3 linked regions of the Kluyveromyces lactis genome follow. The protein of the gene in region 1 interacts with the protein of each later gene in a pairwise test. Links are inferred from orthologs where the notes say so. Each region holds a gene or a part of one and is shown in the gene's direction. Other genes may lie near its edges.

Region 1 (6,949 bases):
CGATGTCCTTATTCTTTTAATTCAAGTCAATTATTGTATAAACGGTATGTACACACTTTGATTCTTATTGTCATTCGGCACGTCTCTCGACCTTTTTTAAACTTTACATTTCTTAAGGTTGATGAAAAACCAATATTTACATTGAAGAATATAAGAACAGAAGCAATACAGGTAAATTTTGGTTGATCAGTAAACGATATCCTGTAAGAAGGCGATTGTAACATTGAACTAAACTACACTGGAGTCAATTTTGACTTATAGAAGGGAATACGCTGAAGATAAGAAAAAGGTAGACAATGGCTGCAGAAAAGATTTATGAACCATACAAGAAGTCTCGAGGGACTATGATTTACACACCGACTAATCAGCAGATGTCGCGTGGTGGCATAGGAGAAAAGTTGGCTGATTTCGTGAAGAATCTATACTGGGTTTATTATATCCATCTTCCCTTTTATTTAATGACTTCACTTGATGCATTTTGTTTACACACTATATTTCTGGTTGTAGTCAGCCTGAGCTTATTTGGTTTATTGAAGTACATTTTCCTATGAAACTCGAAATTCAAAGTTTCTCAATCGAAACATTAGCATACAGAGAAAGAGGGAGCAAGACCTTTTTTAGCGCATTCGTTATCAACGAAAACTCCGATCTCTAATCCAATCAACACATATCCATGACAAAAAAATTGTCATTAAATTGAAGCAAACCATTTCTTATCACACTCCCTTTTAGACAAGTCCTGAAGGTTCGACAAGAGTAAATTTGTTTAGAAAGTATGGGCTATATAATCTATAAAAACGGATAAATATTTAGAAATGTATCACGGTTATTTCGCAGGTGATCATGACTTCATATCAGGAGCCGTTTTCCCGGTTCTCTTGTGTTTGTTTTTGATGTTTTTATAATATGTCTACGAGAATCACCCAGGAAGCATGAGTTAAGCCTTGCTTTGTTCGAACTCTTTATTAACTCTTTTCACTCTATTGTATAATACGACATCATCGTGGGTAATAAAATCGTACAAGACTTTACACCAGGAGGAGTGCTTTGGCAGATGATTATAAAATTCCGGACATAAACTGTTCAATTCCCAAAGTCGGGACCAAGCAACAAATGGGAAATCATGATGTTCATTGTGTAAACCGACATTCCAAGTGAAGAAGTTTAGAAGCCCATAATAAGAATACGTCTCCAATGCGTACTTTTTCCTGAATTCGACGTCTTCTCTTGAGACGTTTGATTCATCAGTGACGTTAATTGGTTGTCTTTCGGCTGGCGTTAATTTTAGCATCAGTTTACCACCGATGATAGCTTCTTCAATGTTCAACAGATAGTGTTCTGCAATGAAATGGCCAGAGCATGGATGTAGAGAACCGGCTAAGAATGAGGACATCAGGAAATAACAGTATGAATACCAACCAAAATTCGCGATCCATATAAAATTGAACATAAATTGGTACAACACGTTCAAAAGGTGGATGTAGGTGAATTTGATCCTTGTGACAAACATAGGTCTAAATGCGTAGAAGAAGATTTGGAATGTGGCAAAGAACGATTTCCCCAAGATATTGGATAAAAGCACAGCCTCAAACCTGGTAGGGATATCCGTGTCATAAATTTCATCTCCAAGAAACTTGTGATGCAATTGATGATATGGTCCAAATGACGCACTGTATGGGATACCAATTGGGGTATTTGTGAAAATGGCAAACAACTTGTTGTGGACAGGTTTCTTAAATGCTAGGTTGTGAGACAATTCATGGATTGCCAAGAAGATATTCTGGTTAGCGGTAGCACCGATGACATATGCAATGATGAAAAATTTCCAAGTAAAAGGATGGGTATTTCTTAAGTAATAGGAAAGCGATAACTGAAGCGACACAACACCAATGATAATCCATTTAGTCAAAGGTTCGTGGCCCATAAGTCGCTGCACTTCTGGATGTTTCTTAATTATGGCATGTCTTCTTATAGCATGGGGTTCTTTATGTGCGGACCAGTAGAAGTTATCAAGAACTTTAAAATCCTCATCTGCACTTGGAACGTCGACAAATTTCTCAGAGACTTTCAAATCTCTATGAACAATTGTCATGTCTAAGGGTCTTAATGAAGCTCTCTTCTTGTTAAGATAGCGATTCCGATGCTATATCAAAACTTGAAAGTAAAACAATGCCGATAAAAAAACAGGAACCGGAAACACGCTTGACAAAAATACAGTTCTTGATCCTTGATTCCAAGCCTGCCTAGAATCTTATTATTGAGTTTGATACTGATATTCTCAATGTAACCACACCAGTTGGATCAGGTATAAATCCTATGTTTATGCGTGACTATTTAAAAGAACTTAAGCTTTTAAAATTTAAAATCTAAAATCCTTAAATCCCGAAAAAGAACTGATCTTATGATGTGATAAATTCAAACACATACACAAACCTAAACGCAAGCAAAGCCTGCTAAGAAATGTGGTTTATACTTAGAAAGAAATCTGTAATTGGAATTACAATATATCTTTAAACGAACAAAAACCATGCGATGAGATGTTGCTGTTCCGTGTGCTCTCGAGCGATAGAAAGAAATTTTTCATTACGCTTTAAGGGAAATGGGAAAAAGTACGGTCACGTGAAACAAAGACACAGAGAGGGAACGCCCTGTTCTAACATCAGACACAGGGTTGGTGGTACCAAGGGCCCCACCAATATCTGTTTAACCATTAAATATGCAAAACTGATATATTTCGATCCAATCCTGACATACTCTAAATCATTTCAAATGTCAAACGATGTGACAAACCGCTGCAAGATTATGGTTCAATCTTATACAGGATTTGCTTCCACCCCGGATGAATGCAATTATACGCGTACATAAGTTCTGTACCCCCTTTGCTACCGACCTTAAATTGCTTCGCAGTTTGGCTATCTTGTCTTATTATCCCCTTTCAAGTTGGAGAATTGCTCAATCCATTAGGTACTGAAATTGTTCAACAATCGTAGTAGCTTTTTTTTTTTGGTCACTCACTATTCTCCATCTGCTGAAACAAATTTGAACCTGAACATTGAGTGGAACGAACTTGACGAGAACAGAAGAATGGTAGCAGTCTCCCTTTAATTGCTGCATACTTAACTTACGTTGATATCTTTGACCAAATATATCTATATATACCGAGATCTACAGCGTCTTATAATATCCTGGCGGGTTATCAACATCATCTATTATACCCATTTTTACCATAGCATTCCATAATGTTGAGGCATTCCTATTGTAGAGCACAGCAACAGTCATTGAGACACGTTTTGAAGACCAGATTGGCTGTTAATCAATTAAGATTTATGTCTGAAGTTAAGTTTAGAGTCGATTCCACTGCCAGAGTGGTCACTTTGGATAGACCAAAGAAATTGAACGCATTGGATGTTGAGATGTGCAGTGCCATCTTGCCCACATTGCAAGAATATGCCAAGAGTACCGTTAACAATGTTGTTATCTTGAACTCTTCAGCTAGTCCTAGGGCCTTCTGTTCAGGTGGCGATGTAGCTCAAGTAGCCAAGTTGGTTAAGGAAGGAAATTTTGATTACGCTAGAGAATTTTTCACCAAGGAATACTCGTTAAACTTGGCTCTAGCTACGCTGAACAAGCCGGTCATCTCTATCATGGACGGTATCACCATGGGTGGTGGTGTCGGTCTATCTACTCATATTCCATTCCGTATTGCTACTGAAAATACTCGTTGGGCCATGCCTGAGATGGATATTGGATTCTTCCCAGATGTCGGTGCCACTTTCTCTATTCCAAAGCTTACCACTGTTGGTGGTTCCAACGGACAATTGGCTCAGTACTTGTGCATGACTGGTGACATTTTGAATGGTGCCGATGCTTACGTGGCTGGTGTCGCTTCTCATTATGTGCCACATGATCAGATCTCCAACTTACAGGCAAGATTGGCTGAGTTACATTTGACTGAAGCCACTTCTCAATCGACTAACCGTGATGATGAAATTTTCGATGTTGTCAACCATGCTATTGAGGAATTCAACGCACCATTACCAAGAGACTACAAGTTCAAGTACACTGCTGATGAACTAAACGTCATTGAACAGTGTTTCGATATCGGTAACAGTTTGAAGCAAATCTACTCCAAATTGGATGAGGTCATTGCTGGAAAGACAGTATCACAAACAGCTCAGGAGTTTGCTGCAAAGACCAAGCAAATGCTAGCTAGCAAATCCCCTGTTTCTTTGGAAATCGCAAAAGAACTTTTCCAAAGAAACTCCTTCACTGACATTCAAACCGCCTTGACCCAAGATTTGATCACTGCTACTAAAATGTCAGAATCTCCGGACCTATGTGAATTTGCTGAGGCCACTAGTCATAAATTGCTAGAAAAGAACAAGACCCCATACCAATGGAAGATCAAAGATTTGAAATTAGCCCAAATATCAGTTCTAATCTCACAAAACTCCTCAAACCCGGTGTCGTTGATCCGCCCATCAAATTTAGTTACTTTCTCTGAATACCCACATCATAGCAAGTACCAATTACCAAACGAAACTCTAGTTGAGAAATATATCACAGGTGCTGACAACCATGGAAGACAAACTGCAGTTACTAAGAAGGAAGCTGTCAAATTCTTCCAACAATTGAACCCCGCCACGAAGAGTAAGACCGGCGTAGACTACTTGGTAGGTTTTATTATTGACAGAAAATGTGTTCCAAACCCAGATGGTTTCTTAAGATGGAAAACTTCCTCTGCTAAACTATAAAAACTATACATTTCGATTATATAGTACATCGAACACTTGTAAATACACTTACGATTAACCTACACGCAATAAATTTCATTATCCTCTCTTAGAATGGCATTGTTCTTCGGCAGTACATAAGGGTGCCATAAGTTAAATACAGCTCTAATTGATGCGTTCTACTTTAAAACTCGTTCATCTACCTAATTCTTTGTTATATTTTCCATAATTACGGCATGGTTTAAAATTTGAAATTACTGGAGTTTGATCCTTTAAAATGAGTGTGCAAGAAATAGAACATCAATATATAAGAACAAAGCTCCACAACGCATCATATCTGCCTTCAAATTAAAGATGTCTGGTTCTGATATCCTTGATATCAATGTACCCAGGGTCATTGATACAGATGACTGTGTTTATTGTTTTGAAACGATGAAGAATAAAGATGAGGGTCGTGAACATTCATTATTCATCTGTCTACGCTGCTTTCAGTCTTTCTCCGAAGAGCATTGGGAACTACATCAAGAGGTTGTTTTGAGTGAGACTGGTTCTACCCATGATCTGTATCTCAGAGTATTCAAGGTTCTAAAACCAAAACAAGAGCGAGAAGAAGCTGGCACGCCACCATTGGAAAAGAAATTAAAGCTTGAGGTTAAGGATGTGAATGAGGATGATCTATATGATACCCACTGGCTGCTTGGATCTGTGGAACATGGAGAATTGTTATCTTCAGACACTCCATCTATTCCTAAGGAATGGAGTGACAAAATTAGTGAAATCTTGCAAACAAAATCCTCATCATATCAAGATATGTCAAATACCTGGACACTTGAATTAAAGTCATGTCCACACATACAGACTTTCGACTTATCGAACTTGGAGAAGCGAGAAGGTGGCATTTCTCAAAGCTGTAACGACTGTGGTCTTACTTCTAACCTTTGGTTATGTCTCCATTGTGGAAACGTCGCCTGTGGAAGAGAGCAGGTTGGGATAGAGGGGTACTCTCATGCTTTGAAACATTATGAAAGCACAGATGGCCACGCTTTAGCGATAAAATTGGGCTCTTTGACAGCTGATGCAGCTGATATATACTGTTATTCTTGTGATGAAGATGTGAAATTCACCCATAATCTGCAGTTGCAGGATATCTTGAAGTTTTGGGAAGTCGAAGTACCAGCCAAGTCCAAAGAAAAGACATTGGTGGAATTGCAAGTGGAACAAAGTCTGAAATGGGATTTTCAAATGGTAGATTCACAAGGTAAAAGTTTAAAACATCTACAAAATGGTCCTGAATACGGTTTGGGCTTATTAAATTTGGGCAATTCTTGCTACCTAAATTCTGTATTGCAAGTTTTACTTAACGGTGGGATCAGAAATTGGAACCTAGATGGATTAGGATCCTTTCCTACAGATGTCGTCTATCCAAGAACGAATTTACACTGTCAACTAATCAAAATCAGAAATGCTATGACCTTACAGCAATCCAGATATCCTGAGGGTATTAAACCCACCACTTTCAAAAAGGTTATTGGGGGCTCGCATGAAGAATTTTCCTCTGGAAGACAGCAAGATTCCTTGGAATTTTTTTCCTATCTCTCTGATAAATTGGATAGAGAGATATTTAAAAATACTACTACCAATCCAAACGATTTGTTTAGATTCAACATTCAAGACAAGATTAAATGTGACAATTGTAACAAAGTTAAGTTCATGGATCAAGTTTCAGAAGTCATTCAGCTTCCATTAAGAAAACTAGACGGGGAGCAAAATCTAATTGACAGGTTAAATGATTACTTCAGTGGGGAAAAAATTGAATACCGTTGTCTCACCAATAAGAAAATTAACACTGCATCAAAAGTACCAGGGTTCTCTAGTTTCCCACGTACACTTATCATAAACCCGATTAGAATTGAGTTAATCAACTGGCAGCCAAGCAAGACATCAGAGCAAGTTGTGGTACCTGGTGTACGCGATGATGCTTTACTAGATATGTCCCCATTCAAAGCTACAGGAATTTGCGAAGGGGAAGAAGTCGAAGAAGAAGAGGAATCAGATTCCTTCCAATTCAACGAATTGTTCCTAGGACAATTAGAACAGATGGGATTCTCTCGCAATGCTACCAAAAGAGCATTATTTGAAACGGGAAACTCTGACCCTAATGCAGCCACGGAATGGTTGTTCCAGCATATGGAGGACCCTAACTTAAACGAGGCCTT
Region 2 (6,380 bases), on another chromosome or scaffold:
AGCTACTACGGGTCCTACGAAATATGGACCAAATCTCTTTTCATATAGGGATGTAGATACCAGTTGTGTGAAAGTTTCAGGCTCGATCGGTCTGTCCTCCCTCAACTTGTATAAATTAGTTTTGTAACGGAAACTTTCTGAAAGCGTAAGCACATCAGTTGCTAGCCCTGTTAATCCTAGAAATACGTGTCCGTAATGGAAGATTTTCTCGAAATTGTTGGCGACACCTAATGACTGCGAACCAAGTCTTAAGTCGCATCCAATGGCGACACAATCTTTACCAGTCATAGCGACTACAATACCACCGTTAATAGAACTTGGGTCAGACATTTTAACTCAATTATATCTTGGGTATTTTTTTCACTAACAACTTGATTTCCAAGTGGATCCTGTTGCCTTTTTTACTGCACTTAATTTGTTAATAGTTTAAGGTTTTGCCACTACATCCTAACAGATTTCAATCTTTAATATTCGTACTTTACGAGGAAACATCATACTGTACGTGTTTAAAGGTTACCCGGAAATGGTGATAATGTTAACCTTCTTCGATAAAGTAGAATAAGCTGCCAAAGCTGACATCCGGTAAAAGCTTTAGGGTGAGCCGCAGATCGACTTTAACCAGTGAGAGATAACTTGAACTCACGCTTCACATATTTCTATATTATTTTCAGTTTTAGTAGACCAACATTGGCGTTGAAATTAGTATTTATTATATTATTTTACAAGATAGCCCGTTCTTCAACTGGATAGTGGAAGCAAAGGAGACATTAGATGTATTAGTATTATTCTTATTGATTGCGTTGGTACTATTTGTCTATAGGAAATTTATCGGAATTCTCATAACTTTTTTCTATAGCTTTGAGGTACTCGTTATGTTTATGGTACTGCCTGTTCAAATATAGGTATTTAGCGTTCCAATTGTCCATTATTAGATCAAAATTCGGATTATGCGTCCAAATCTTGATTAACGCTGGTTTTATATCATTGTGTTCGTTTATCCATTCTGCCAATTTTGTAACAAAAATTTTCCAATGTAGCAGCTGTGAATCCATGTTTAATTTACCTGATTCTTCGACGTTGAAGTTGGTGTACAAGGAATCCAATCCATACAAGGGTTCCCAGTGGAAAACTTTAATTTTTGGGTTCACTTTGAAGCTGTTAGGGTCTTCTTGGTACTCAGACAGTATTCTTCCAGACCATCCATATTCTTGATTAGATACCATTTCAAATTGCGAATCCGGAATGGGTGTAATCCTACTGGCCCAGAAATTTATGCAATCCACGAAGGTTTCACATTGCTTGGAAGATGAACATTCAAATATCAGACTCTTGTGATGCTGATCATCGGCAAATTCAACTTGGAAACATTTCGGTTTTGATGCACCCGTATGATCAATGATTGTTTCTCCAATGAGCTCCGCAAATGCACCAAATAGATTAAATCTTTGGATAATAGAAGTTCCAAAAATGCCATTCGGTCCAGTCAGTGATCTTGCAGAAAGTTTGTTCTTACTTTTTGTTAAATGAAGTTCAAGCGATCCTTTTTGAACTGTTACTCTAGCTCTGTGCATCTTTCTGTTCGCATTTTCCATTCTTTGTTGTTGATGAGTTAGGTTATTACCTCTTCTGAAAAGTTTCATTATCCCGTGAGTTGCGCTATCGCATGGTTCTGATATAGAATGAGTAGACTTGTTGACCTTAAAGTTTAAAGTGTGGTCTACCAACCATAAAGAGTCATTTTGTTTACCGAATATATCATCTTCATGCTGATGAACATAGAAATCGGTTGCATTTACGTGTTGAGACCATTCTGATTGAGAAGACAGTACCGACTGTGATGTGGTAGTCTTTTCCAAAAGCGAACTTGCTGGTCTTAAAGAGAAAAGCGAAGTCTTACGGGATACGCTAAAAGACACACGTTCATTGGGAGAGGGATTCATGGAAGAATGATTCATAGAAGGAGAATCATTTGAGGTTGAAGAATAATCATTCTTGTTGCTGACTTCTTTGAAAGTCCTCGGTTGGCACAAGGGAAATGGAATGTCCAGAATTTGGTTATAATAACCACGTAAATCATCCTTTATGAGTTTCTCATCTAGCTGCATATCTTTCAGTTCATATCTGATAGCATAGATGGTATTCTCAATGAATTGATCCACTGTAAATTTGTAGTCGAAAGACTCATTGTGTAAATCAGAATTGAGGATCAACAGAGAGAACAAAATGATGTGACAGACCCTATAGTTCCCCTGAAAGTGTGAGACCTTGTCCTTATGTTCATCGGTCCATTGAGCAGCAAGTTCTTCTAAAATATTGTCTAGCGGAGTAGCTTCTGCGATCAAATAAAGACCATGGGATAGCTTTGATAGAGTAAGATACAACGAAGTCGGCCAAGGTCTCAAAAGGTTCAAAAATTCCGTTAGTACGCGCTTATTCTCCTTTGCACCTAACCAATTCGCATACTGTGTATATTCCAAGGGCCGGTAAGTCTGTTTCAGCATCTGGTCAGCCGTTTGTAGATCTGCATCGTTAATAAACGCATGGATATTCGTCATCTTCGGAGATTCCACTATTGGTGGATCGGACTGTTCATTGCCTACCATCAATCTGTTATGATTCTGGTTCTTATTAGGAGTTATAAACGCACCCATCGATGGCAATTATGGCAATTTTCTGTATGTGATTCTATCCCTACACTATGTATAATCCTCTGCTTAAAGCCCTTTGACATACGCAAAACACCTTTCAATTCTTCTCTATCCAAGGTAGAAGCCAAGGTTCAAGCGGTCAGCGAAGAATTCAAGGATTCCCCCACAAAAAAATATCCGAGACAGAAAGGCTGAACTTATTAATAAGACGTTCTTGAGAACTTGGCGATCAAATCTATCGCTGTTTAATAGTGCCTGATGTAACGGTTGGCCATTTTAAAATTCCTTTTAAGATTTCATTTTGGCAACAATTTCGATATTTCTTTTCATATTATTGCCTAATTCTGATATAAAAGTAAAGCCGCTAAGAAAAGCCGCTAAGGAAAGACGCAGTGAGACAAAGATCAACATCTATTGTACATGATAACACTGCAAGTAATATGGCTTTCTACAAACATATATGGCTCACTACTTTATATTTATCAGTACTATGTAGAAAAGATGGAAGACAGAACAAGCAATGCACTGCATGTGTTACACTTAAACCTTTCGAACTCAGTTCCGGTGATGGTCATGATGGGGAGGACCATGATGAGATAATCTTTCTTGATCCACCACCCACCGCAATATGACATGTGACTGAAGAGTCACGTGCCATGTAAATAAACACTCTTCAGGGACTGTTTACCATTTTAATTTGTTTTGGTTTGAAATTTGAATAAAAAAAACAAAACACCAAAACACGAAAAAGGCTATATAATTTAATTATTAATTACATTACATGAGACATCATTAATCAATTACGTTCACTTTTCTTGGGAGAAGCAGTTTTCTATCCTAGTTGTGAAAGGGTATTGTAGTGGTTATAAGGTCGCTTGAACCAGGCTAAATTGACTCCACAGAATTAGAAATGTCACAGGTGGAAGAAGTTCAGACTACTCAGGGCCATTCTCAGTTGATGGTCTCACGAACCGAAGAACAGATGGAAGATGTTCAGCAAAGAATTCAGGAAACGGATTTTATGGCTGAAGAAGACGATGTGGCTCTAGCCGCCTTTGTCCCAATAGAGAAATTGCAGGTGAACGGTATCACTTCTGGTGATATCAAGAAACTAAGAGAAAGTGGGTTACACACAGCGGAGGCGGTGGCATATGCCCCCAGAAAAGATTTAATGGAGATTAAAGGTATATCAGAGGCTAAAGCTGATAAGTTACTCGCTGAAGCGTCGAGACTAGTGCCTATGGGTTTTGTCACTGCGGCTGATTTTCATTTGCGTAGAAACGAAATGATCTGTTTAACTACTGGATCGAAAAATCTTGATACTCTACTTGGCGGAGGGATAGAAACCGGATCTATCACTGAACTGTTTGGTGAGTTTAGAACTGGTAAATCGCAACTTTGCCATACATTGGCTGTCACATGCCAGATACCTTTGGATATGGGAGGCGGTGAAGGCAAGTGTTTGTACATTGATACGGAGGGTACATTCAGACCGATTAGGTTGGTTTCGATTGCGCAGAGGTTCGGTTTGGACCCTGACGATGCTTTAAATAACGTTGCATATGCAAGAGCTTATAACGCAGACCATCAATTGAAATTGTTGGACGCAGCTGCACAGATGATGAGTGAGTCAAGATTTTCGCTGATTATTGTCGATTCTATTATGGCATTGTACAGAACCGACTTCTCGGGACGTGGTGAGTTAAGTGCAAGACAGATGCACCTTGCCAAGTTCATGAGATCATTACAAAGACTAGCTGATCAGTTTGGTGTCGCAGCGGTAGTGACAAATCAGGTTGTGGCCCAAGTTGACGGAGGAATGATGTTTAACCCTGATCCAAAAAAACCGATTGGTGGTAATATCATGGCTCATTCCTCCACTACTCGTCTTGGATTCAAGAAGGGGAAAGGTCCACAGAGATACTGTAAAGTGGTAGACTCACCATGTTTGCCTGAAGCAGAATGTGTGTTTGCGATCTACGAGGATGGTATCGGAGATCCAAGGGAAGACGATGATTGATCTGATTCTCTTTACCTGGTTATTCATAACACCAAAAAAAAAAGAATAAAAAGAAAAATCCACATTTTTAATATAGCATTCAATTTCCTACGTTGCTAGTAAAACCCCACTGCGTATCTATCTTCTCATTTATTTGTTCATATCATTCGTGTTATAAATAGTCCATAGGGCACGTTATTCTATATGTATATTCATGCAAACCCTCTCTAGTTGTTAAATGCTCGCATAAAACGCATATAATTCCCTCAGCGAAAAGGGACGACTATCCTTTCATTTAAGGGACTTGCATATCATAGCTACAAACACTTCTCCATGTCAGTGTGCTATTAATAGGCTTGACTTCTTTTAATATTCTTTACCTCATCACACCGGAATTCCGAACGTCAACAATCTGAAGCGAAATTTTTGGAAATTTCACCATTTCCACATATAGACAAGAAAGAGTAATTTTGCATTTCTATATAAAACACGTTAACTTTGTAAAACAAAGGTTTGCGAGAGAACATATTCTGGCAAGAAACAGGAGGGACAGAGCGGAGAAGCGTGCTACCGATATATTAGACTTGTCACTAGGCACTCTGTTATTTGGGGTTTTAAGTACGACTCTTTTTTGATAATTTTTTTGACCGATTCTCGTGATATAATTGATAAATCGAACGTTACAAATGGCAGCATCAGCCTCGCATGTCCATCCATACGCACAGCATTTAGCTGAACTGAATCCTATGGTGGTTGACATCCCTGAACTTGAAGTTAGTGGTAATGTTTCTTCTGCTGACTTTAAAGCCGATGATGAGGAACCTAGGGCTTTGTCCGGTTTGAGCTCGCCTAGTTTTACAGTAACCGGAGAAAAGTACGCGAATTTACGTTCAAATAATAACACACCTCCAAATGAGACACCTGAGTATATCAGGAAACATAAGAGATCTGAATCGAGCAATGGGAATATGTCTGTGAATTCTATACCTTCTAGCGGTTCTAGAGGCTCAGATAGACGGGTAAAGTCCGTTGTTTCTTTTAGTTCAAATGCGGAGAATCCGAACAGAAGATCAAGATCCGTAGATCTTTCACATTTATACCTCGGTGGTGAAAGGGACATACGATTCACGTCCACGAATGAACTTGTGGCAGATGAGTCTCACAAGAGAATTAGCACATATTTAGGTAATGATTCGGCTGCCTCGTTACTATCTCGTCAGAAAACCATCGAAATGTACAAACAAAATGTTAAGAAATCGAAGAACCCGGATGTCTTGTTCCAGTACAGTCAGTACATGTTACAAACTGCATTAACTATGAACCCCACCGAATTTGATGACAAAAAAAATGAAGACGGGTTAACCGTGGAAGAGCAGAGACAGCAATTCTTGAAAGAAGCATTACATTATCTTAAGAAATTGAGCGTTAAAGGTTACAAAGATGCACAATATTTACTCGCAGATTCTTACTCTAGTGGTGTCTTTGGGAAAGTGAATCAAAAAGAAGCATTCTCTCTTTTCCAAGCATCTGCAAAACATGGGCACGTCGAAGCAGCTTATAGAACATCGGTATGTTTTGAGGAAGGGATAGGTACTACCAGGGATTCTCGTAAGTGCATCGAATTTTTGAAGTTTGCTGCATCCAGAAACCATCCAGCTGCCATGTTTAAACTTGGGGTGTACGCATTTTACGCTAAGATGGGTCTTTCAGACGATCTCAATACGAAGAAGAAC
Region 3 (6,641 bases), about 150 kb from region 1:
TGAGCGGAGGCAACGGCGGCAACGGCGGCGAAAGCGGCGACAGTAGAGAATTGCATTTTTGATAAGTATTTAAGCGAGTGACTGAAGAATAATATTCTATGAGGTTTTAAGCTAAAAATGAATATAGTAAAATTATTATAATAATAGTGTAGAAGAAGAGAAAAGAATATATTAAAATCTGAATGGTACCTGCTGTATATATACTCTTTTTTTTGCCTCCTCCTTGGGTAAGTTTCTCTATTTCAGTAGATAAAAAAAAAACAATAAAGCAGTAATATTTTTTATCATATCTCCTCATAACAGGAAAAATCAGAAACTAAGGTTTCTAAATTTGTCATTTTTTTGGCCACGCCCCAGTGGCCGCAGTACAAATCGCGAGATTTGTTTGTTTTTGGTCATGAAAGAAAAAAATGAAAAATAAGAAACTAAACCAAAAAAAAAAAAACGCCAACAGTGAGAACGGGCTTTACAACGGACTTTTACAGTGGGTTCTAAAAGAGGTAAAAACTAGCCCGTAGCCAGCAGACTGGTATTTTGATTACCTGTCTTAGCGTTGACTGGTTGCTTATTCTACTAGACCGCGTGGTAGCAGACAATAATGGGAGAATACGACTCGTTTTTGCCCCTTTCGTAGTCAATCCTCTCAGTTCCTCTTCCTCGAAAGTAGAAACGCAGCAACTTTCTCATTGGCGAGTATTTTGGTTTTTGTTTTTTTGTTTCGGTTTCCACGTATAATGAGTGGAGTTTTCGGTTTGTTGAACCGTGTTTGCTTTGCTAGTAGAAACTTACCAAATTTTGAAAAAAATTTGACAGGCTAAGGCTAGCTTACCTGAGGCTAGCTAGGGTAAGCAAGATTTTGCTAGGATTTCCACCTATGGCGGATTTCTCGTTCTACTCCGTAGTGCTTACATTTCTGAGTCGTTAACAGCGCTTGCCCTCAAATCTAAAAAATCTAGAAAAAGAGTTCCTAGACTAATTTGGATAAATAGTAGGATTCGTTGCTCTACCTACTCCTCTGCCTCCCCGCCACATGGGGGTGACCGCAAAAAAAGAAAAAGACAATGCAAGAAACACCGCAGTTACGAAAATCTCAGGTTCACGAATGTGTGCTTATGCCCGTATTGCGGTGTTTTCTACGTAGCGGAAATAAATCTTGGCAAATTTATGTTCCCGTTTTACAAAGCAACGAGAATTTTATTTCACACTCTTTCTCGACTATGTTTCCAGTTTCCTATTCTAGTATATACCAGCTTACTCACCAATTATTGCTTGGTATTTTTGCCATATTTGGCGTCGGCTGGAGGCAATATTTTACTCTCGGTTTGGTTGGTTTAAGAATATACCAAGAAGTTGGCCTTTCGAAGGGATAGCTTGGGATGGCCAAGATCGCCCGTAATAACCCTTATAGTGCTCAAAGTTCAGTAATAGGCAAATAACGCACGCCCGCATCGAAGATAGCTAGCAACGCATATCTATAGTAACATAGGCAAGATATTAAAAAAATCCCACTCCAGATGAGAAAAAATAAAAGATGGTCTCATTCAAGATATCAGATAGCGAGCGATATGAACTCGAAATTTTTCAGGTAGAACTGAGGGGGAGATTATTTTCTACGAGCAATTTTCTACGCAATACTACAAGGCAATAGAATCCACGAAAAAATTACGTAGTTGCTGCGGACTCTTTTTGTTTTGATTTCCGTTGTTTTGGTTTTATAGTTTTGCGTAATCTTCTATATTTGGTACCCTGTAAAAAGGTTCTAGACTTTGGGCATTTCACTCTTTAATCAGATTCGTTCCCCTTTGTCTGCTTGCTTCTGCAAGATGGTGTGCTTTGTTTACCCTGTGCGATCGCGTTTCAAGGGTTCCATGATAGGGCTTTAAAGGCGCTAATCACAAATCTCAAGTATATCGTCGTATTCCAGAGTCGCGGGTTCGACTCATGTTGAGTGTAAGTCAGATCAGTCACCAGTAGAGAAGGATGTCATGGCTTGATTTGTAAATAGACCCTGGAAACGCCGATAGTAGGTTACAAACTACGACAGAGCGTCAAGGGCGCGGCCGGTGGGTTTTACCTACTGCAAATCATCTCACGGTTCGTCCATTTTTTCTATTCCATGCCTAGAAAACCAAGAGGTGTGATTTCCCGGGTAACATCAAGTTACTAATCCGTTTCTATGCATCTATTACCCTGTCTCGTAAGTTTTCTTATCAGATCACGTTGTATGTAAGTAGGCGGTTTCAAACCATACTTTATTCAAATTGATGTCTGTCCAAAAACTGTCATTTCGACTTACAAAGAAACTTTAAATGAGGAAATGTATAATTATTGATCAAGAAGTACCTTTAACGTTTATGGTCACCAGTATTAATATGTAACGTCACGGTATTCACAGGTGTGCAATAATTGGGTGGTCTTCTCAAGGGTTTCTTACTTGGTTTATCACGTGATATCAGTAGAAGTATTACCCGGATGTCATGTATCATAATCCGCCACTGCCCCTCCTGTTCGCAAATCTTACTCTACATACATACATGCATACACATATAATAACCCAATCTATCAAGCCGACGTCGATCCTATCTGTCAGAGCTGTTGTTACGTCTTAAATAGGAAACAAGTACACAGGCAGTATTTCAGGGTTAATCACAGAACCAAACGGTGATAAAATCTTCGAAACAGTGTTTTATATAATTCCCACTGTGACACTTTCCCCTCCATTATCGGTGAATGGACATCGTTTTTTGCCAGGCCCTTCCTTTTTTTTTTAGTGAATTAGAACCGTTGAATTTCATATTCAAGTCGTTAAATTTAAAAAATTGAAAATTAAAGAAAACTTGATAGAAACAAAACTAGGAGACCCTTCGACAACAATTGCTATAACGTTGCTTAAGTTATCTGCCAGTTCGAGCGATCTCCCAAAGAATTAGATTCATATACGTATCCTTCGTTGAACCAAAAACTCGAGGATATCGAAGCTGGACACGTTTTTCCAATTGAAATAAAATGTCGAATGAGGAATTTATTAGGACTCAAATTTTTGGTACAGTTTTCGAAATTACCAATCGGTATACTAATTTGAACCCGGTTGGTATGGGTGCCTTCGGGTTGGTTTGTTCTGCTACAGATACGCTAACAAGCCAGCCTGTAGCGATTAAGAAGATTATGAAACCGTTTTCTACTTCCGTACTGGCAAAAAGAACGTATAGGGAACTCAAATTGTTAAAGCATCTAAGGCATGAGAATTTGATTTGTCTCGAAGATATCTTCTTGTCACCATTAGAAGATATTTATTTCGTCACTGAATTGCAAGGGACGGATCTACATAGATTGTTGCAGACAAGGCCTTTGGAAAAACAATTCGTTCAATATTTCTTATACCAGATCTTGAGGGGGCTTAAATACGTTCATTCCGCAGGTGTGATCCATAGAGATTTGAAACCTTCCAATATCTTGATCAATGAGAACTGTGATTTAAAGATCTGCGATTTCGGACTTGCTAGGATTCAAGATCCTCAAATGACTGGTTACGTGTCAACCCGTTACTATAGAGCCCCAGAAATCATGTTGACCTGGCAAAAATATAATGTTGAAGTAGACATCTGGTCTGCTGGTTGTATCTTTGCCGAAATGATCGAGGGTAAGCCTTTGTTCCCAGGTAAAGATCACGTGCATCAATTTTCTATCATCACTGATCTATTAGGATCGCCTCCAAAAGATGTCATAGACACTATTTGCTCAGAGAACACTCTCAAATTTGTTACTTCATTACCTCATAGAGATCCTGTACCATTCAGTTCGAGGTTCCAGAACTTGGAACCAGATGCTATAGATCTTCTAGAAAAAATGCTTGTGTTCGATCCAAAGAAGAGAATTACAGCAGCTGATGCCTTGGCCCATCCTTACCTTTCCCCATATCATGACCCAACCGACGAACCTATCGCAGAAGCTAAGTTTGATTGGAATTTCAACGATGCTGACTTACCTGTTGACACCTGGCGTGTAATGATGTATTCCGAGATCTTGGATTTCCATCAAATCGGTGACCCACAAATCAATACAAATGCTACTTTCGACGACCAAGTAGCCGCTGCCACTGTCGCCGCCGCGGAGGCTGCCTCTAAGCAACAGCAGCAGCAACAACACCAAACTGAAGAGCAAACTCAACAGACAATCGCCTCTACTCCTCCCCAGGCTCAAGTGACCCCACAACAACTTGAAAGTGGCGCTAACTCTAATTCCAATTCTAACCCTTCTTTCTCTATTGGCCCTGATCCAGCAAACGAAACATTGACGAATTTTGCTAATCAAGCAGACCAATACGTCTCCAAATTCAAATAAGTTCAATGTAATGAAATCTGCTTGACAGAAGTATATTCTTTTTTTGTTTTTATTTCGTATTATATAAAGCATCTTTTAATCACAGCAGAAATGTAACTATTTACACGTTTCTTACGATAAACCGAATATTATTTATAATTCTGATAGGGCATCTCAACTAGGAAACAATTGCTTAACAAAATTATTACAAAAGTACTTAAATAAACAAAATCTCTGTTATGATAATACAACTTGAGGGGGTTTCACTCCGTTAAGCCGGCTTCAAGACATAACGAATAGAAAATAGAATCCTTCTTCTGTAACAAATTCTGAGGAGTGTCGAACTCTGTTACTCTACCTTTATCCAACACTATAATTCTATCACTGTCCATAATTGTGTTAATCCTGTGAGCAATTGTTAAGATTGTTCTTTCCTTAAATGCGTTTCTAATCGTCTTTTGGATCAATTGATCCGTTTCAACATCAACAGCTGCAGTTGCTTCATCCAAAATCAAGATATTACTTGAAATCAACAAGGCACGAGCCAAGCACATCAATTGCCTTTGGCCTACACTTAAATTACTACCACCTTCAGTAAGCATGGTCTCCAAACCATTAGATCCCATACCCAGTATGTGATCCTTCAAGTGTGATAAAGCCAATGCATTCCAAATTTCTTCATCGGTATACCGATTAGTAGGATCGATGTTTTCTCTCACTGTGCCTTCAAAGATTTGAGAATCCTGCGGGATAATCGACAATCCATGTCTCAAATCAGCCAAACCTATAGAATCAATTGGGATACCATCGATCACAATATGACCAGAAGCTGCCTCGATAATTCTGAAAAGGGCAAGTGTCAAAGATGACTTTCCAGCACCTGTTCTACCAACAATACCAATTTTCTCCTTTGGGTGAATATGTAAATCAATGTCCTTCAAAATCAATTCTAGTTCTGGTCTGTAACGGGTACTGTAGTTCACAAACTTTATTTCACCTGATTCTGGCCATGATGCTGGTGGCCTATGGTCTTTAATAATATATGGTGCTTCGCTCTTCAATTCTGCATACTCTTTGATTCTTTCAACACTAACAATATTAGTTTCTACTTCCACAGTCATTCTGACAATCCAATTCAACGATTGAGTGATTTGCAAAGCAAAACTCAATGATAGACCAATCATACCAGCAGTTAGAGTTCCATTACCAAGTCTAATAACAGCCAACATAGATGCAGCCAATATGATCACGGATCCGATAAATTCAAGTCTAAATGCCAACCAACGGTTAGCATTGACACTAGGATAGAATGCGCTCATATTATTGTCAACTCTGGTTTGGTTGATATGTACAAAGCGGTTCTGTTGAGAATACCCACGGATGGTAGTCAACCCCCCTAAGGTCTCTTGGAAGTGCGCATAAATGGGTGACCTAGTAACAGAATCCAACCGACGCAATTCTCTTGAGGTTCTCAAGTAGTACTGTTGATAATAGATGTACAATACACTCAATGGTAACACAATAAAGATAAATTGCCAAGTTGCCATGCAAATAACAACGATGGTGAAAGAGACCTTAACAACATTTGCAAAGAATTGAGCAAACGTTCTACCCAAAATTTCATCTACCTTATAAATATCATTCGAAAACCTGTTTAGAATTCTTCCAATAGGAGTTGTTTCAAAGAAAGACATAGGTGCCTTTAAAACACTTGAAGCCATTGCATCATGTAAATACTTGGAGCCATGGATAGTACAGAATACCCATAGAACAATAGTCTGTATTAATGTTGCCAGAGCGGAACCAACACCTAAAGCTAAGTAAATCATCAAATATCTTGTGGCATGGGGGTTATAGCCTTTCTCAGTATTGACTTCTGACCAGTGTTTGAGCCAGAAATTACCAATGACGGCCAACAGCATCGAGAGGATTAGGAAACCCAAAAACACACACACGTTGCGGGGGTTACACGCACGGGCGTACTCCATATAAATATCCCATTTGACTTTACCTTGTTCCCTGTGTTCTCTTCTGGCGCTATTTTCATTGTCATCAAAACCAATTGAGCCTAAGGTTGCCAAAGAAGCTCTTCTTAGAGATTTTAGGTCTTCAGCTTCAGATAAGTTTTCGGTGTCCAACTGATTTATATCTACGGTAATTTCAGAGATCTTTGAGTCTGAATAAGATTCAATTCCTTCCGACGCTAATTTTGCCAAGGAAGTAGTAGATTGGGAAGGAGTTGGTTTACCCTTCTTCCCAAACTCGGCAATAAGCTTCGATAGTGGAGAGTTTGTTGACTCATTAACTTGATCATAACTTCC

What was found.
Region 2: the proteins of EHD3 (region 1) and RAD51 interact in a two-hybrid assay, tested with the Schizosaccharomyces pombe proteins (2 studies listed by BioGRID). The link is inferred for Kluyveromyces lactis from reciprocal best matches to the Schizosaccharomyces pombe genes snr1 and rad51.
Region 3: the proteins of EHD3 (region 1) and HOG1 interact in binary tests that used the Schizosaccharomyces pombe proteins (3 or more experiments, as listed by UniProt). The link is inferred for Kluyveromyces lactis from reciprocal best matches to the Schizosaccharomyces pombe genes snr1 and sty1.

The regions. Positions count from the first base shown.
Region 1 is NC_006042.1:1,713,651-1,720,599, forward strand, and holds EHD3 (mitochondrial 37S ribosomal protein mS47), read left to right. Parts: upstream 1-3,239; coding exon 3,240-4,754; downstream 4,755-6,949. Other genes in the region: TSC3 (Tsc3p), read left to right, coding at 297-551; KLLA0_F18656g (sphingolipid delta(4)-desaturase family protein), read right to left, coding at 938-2,092; ubiquitin-specific protease UBP14, read left to right, coding at 5,088-6,949. UniProt on the Schizosaccharomyces pombe protein: Component of the mitochondrial ribosome (mitoribosome), a dedicated translation machinery responsible for the synthesis of mitochondrial genome-encoded proteins, including at least some of the essential transmembrane subunits of the mitochondrial respiratory chain.
Region 2 is NC_006041.1:1,795,773-1,802,152, forward strand, and holds RAD51 (recombinase RAD51), read left to right. Parts: upstream 1-3,558; coding exon 3,559-4,668; downstream 4,669-6,380. Other genes in the region: PUP3 (proteasome core particle subunit beta 3), read right to left, coding at 1-330; Arf family guanine nucleotide exchange factor YEL1, read right to left, coding at 807-2,651; SHC1 (Shc1p), read left to right, coding at 5,334-6,380. UniProt on the Schizosaccharomyces pombe protein: Required both for recombination and for the repair of DNA damage caused by X-rays. Binds to single and double-stranded DNA, in the presence of magnesium, and exhibits DNA-dependent ATPase activity.
Region 3 is NC_006042.1:1,864,203-1,870,843, forward strand, and holds HOG1 (mitogen-activated protein kinase HOG1), read left to right. Parts: upstream 1-3,006; coding exon 3,007-4,341; downstream 4,342-6,641. Other genes in the region: CCW12 (Ccw12p), read right to left, coding at 1-56; ATP-binding cassette glutathione S-conjugate transporter YCF1, read right to left, coding at 4,584-6,641. UniProt on the Schizosaccharomyces pombe protein: Proline-directed serine/threonine-protein kinase involved in a signal transduction pathway that is activated by changes in the osmolarity of the extracellular environment. Controls osmotic regulation of transcription of target genes.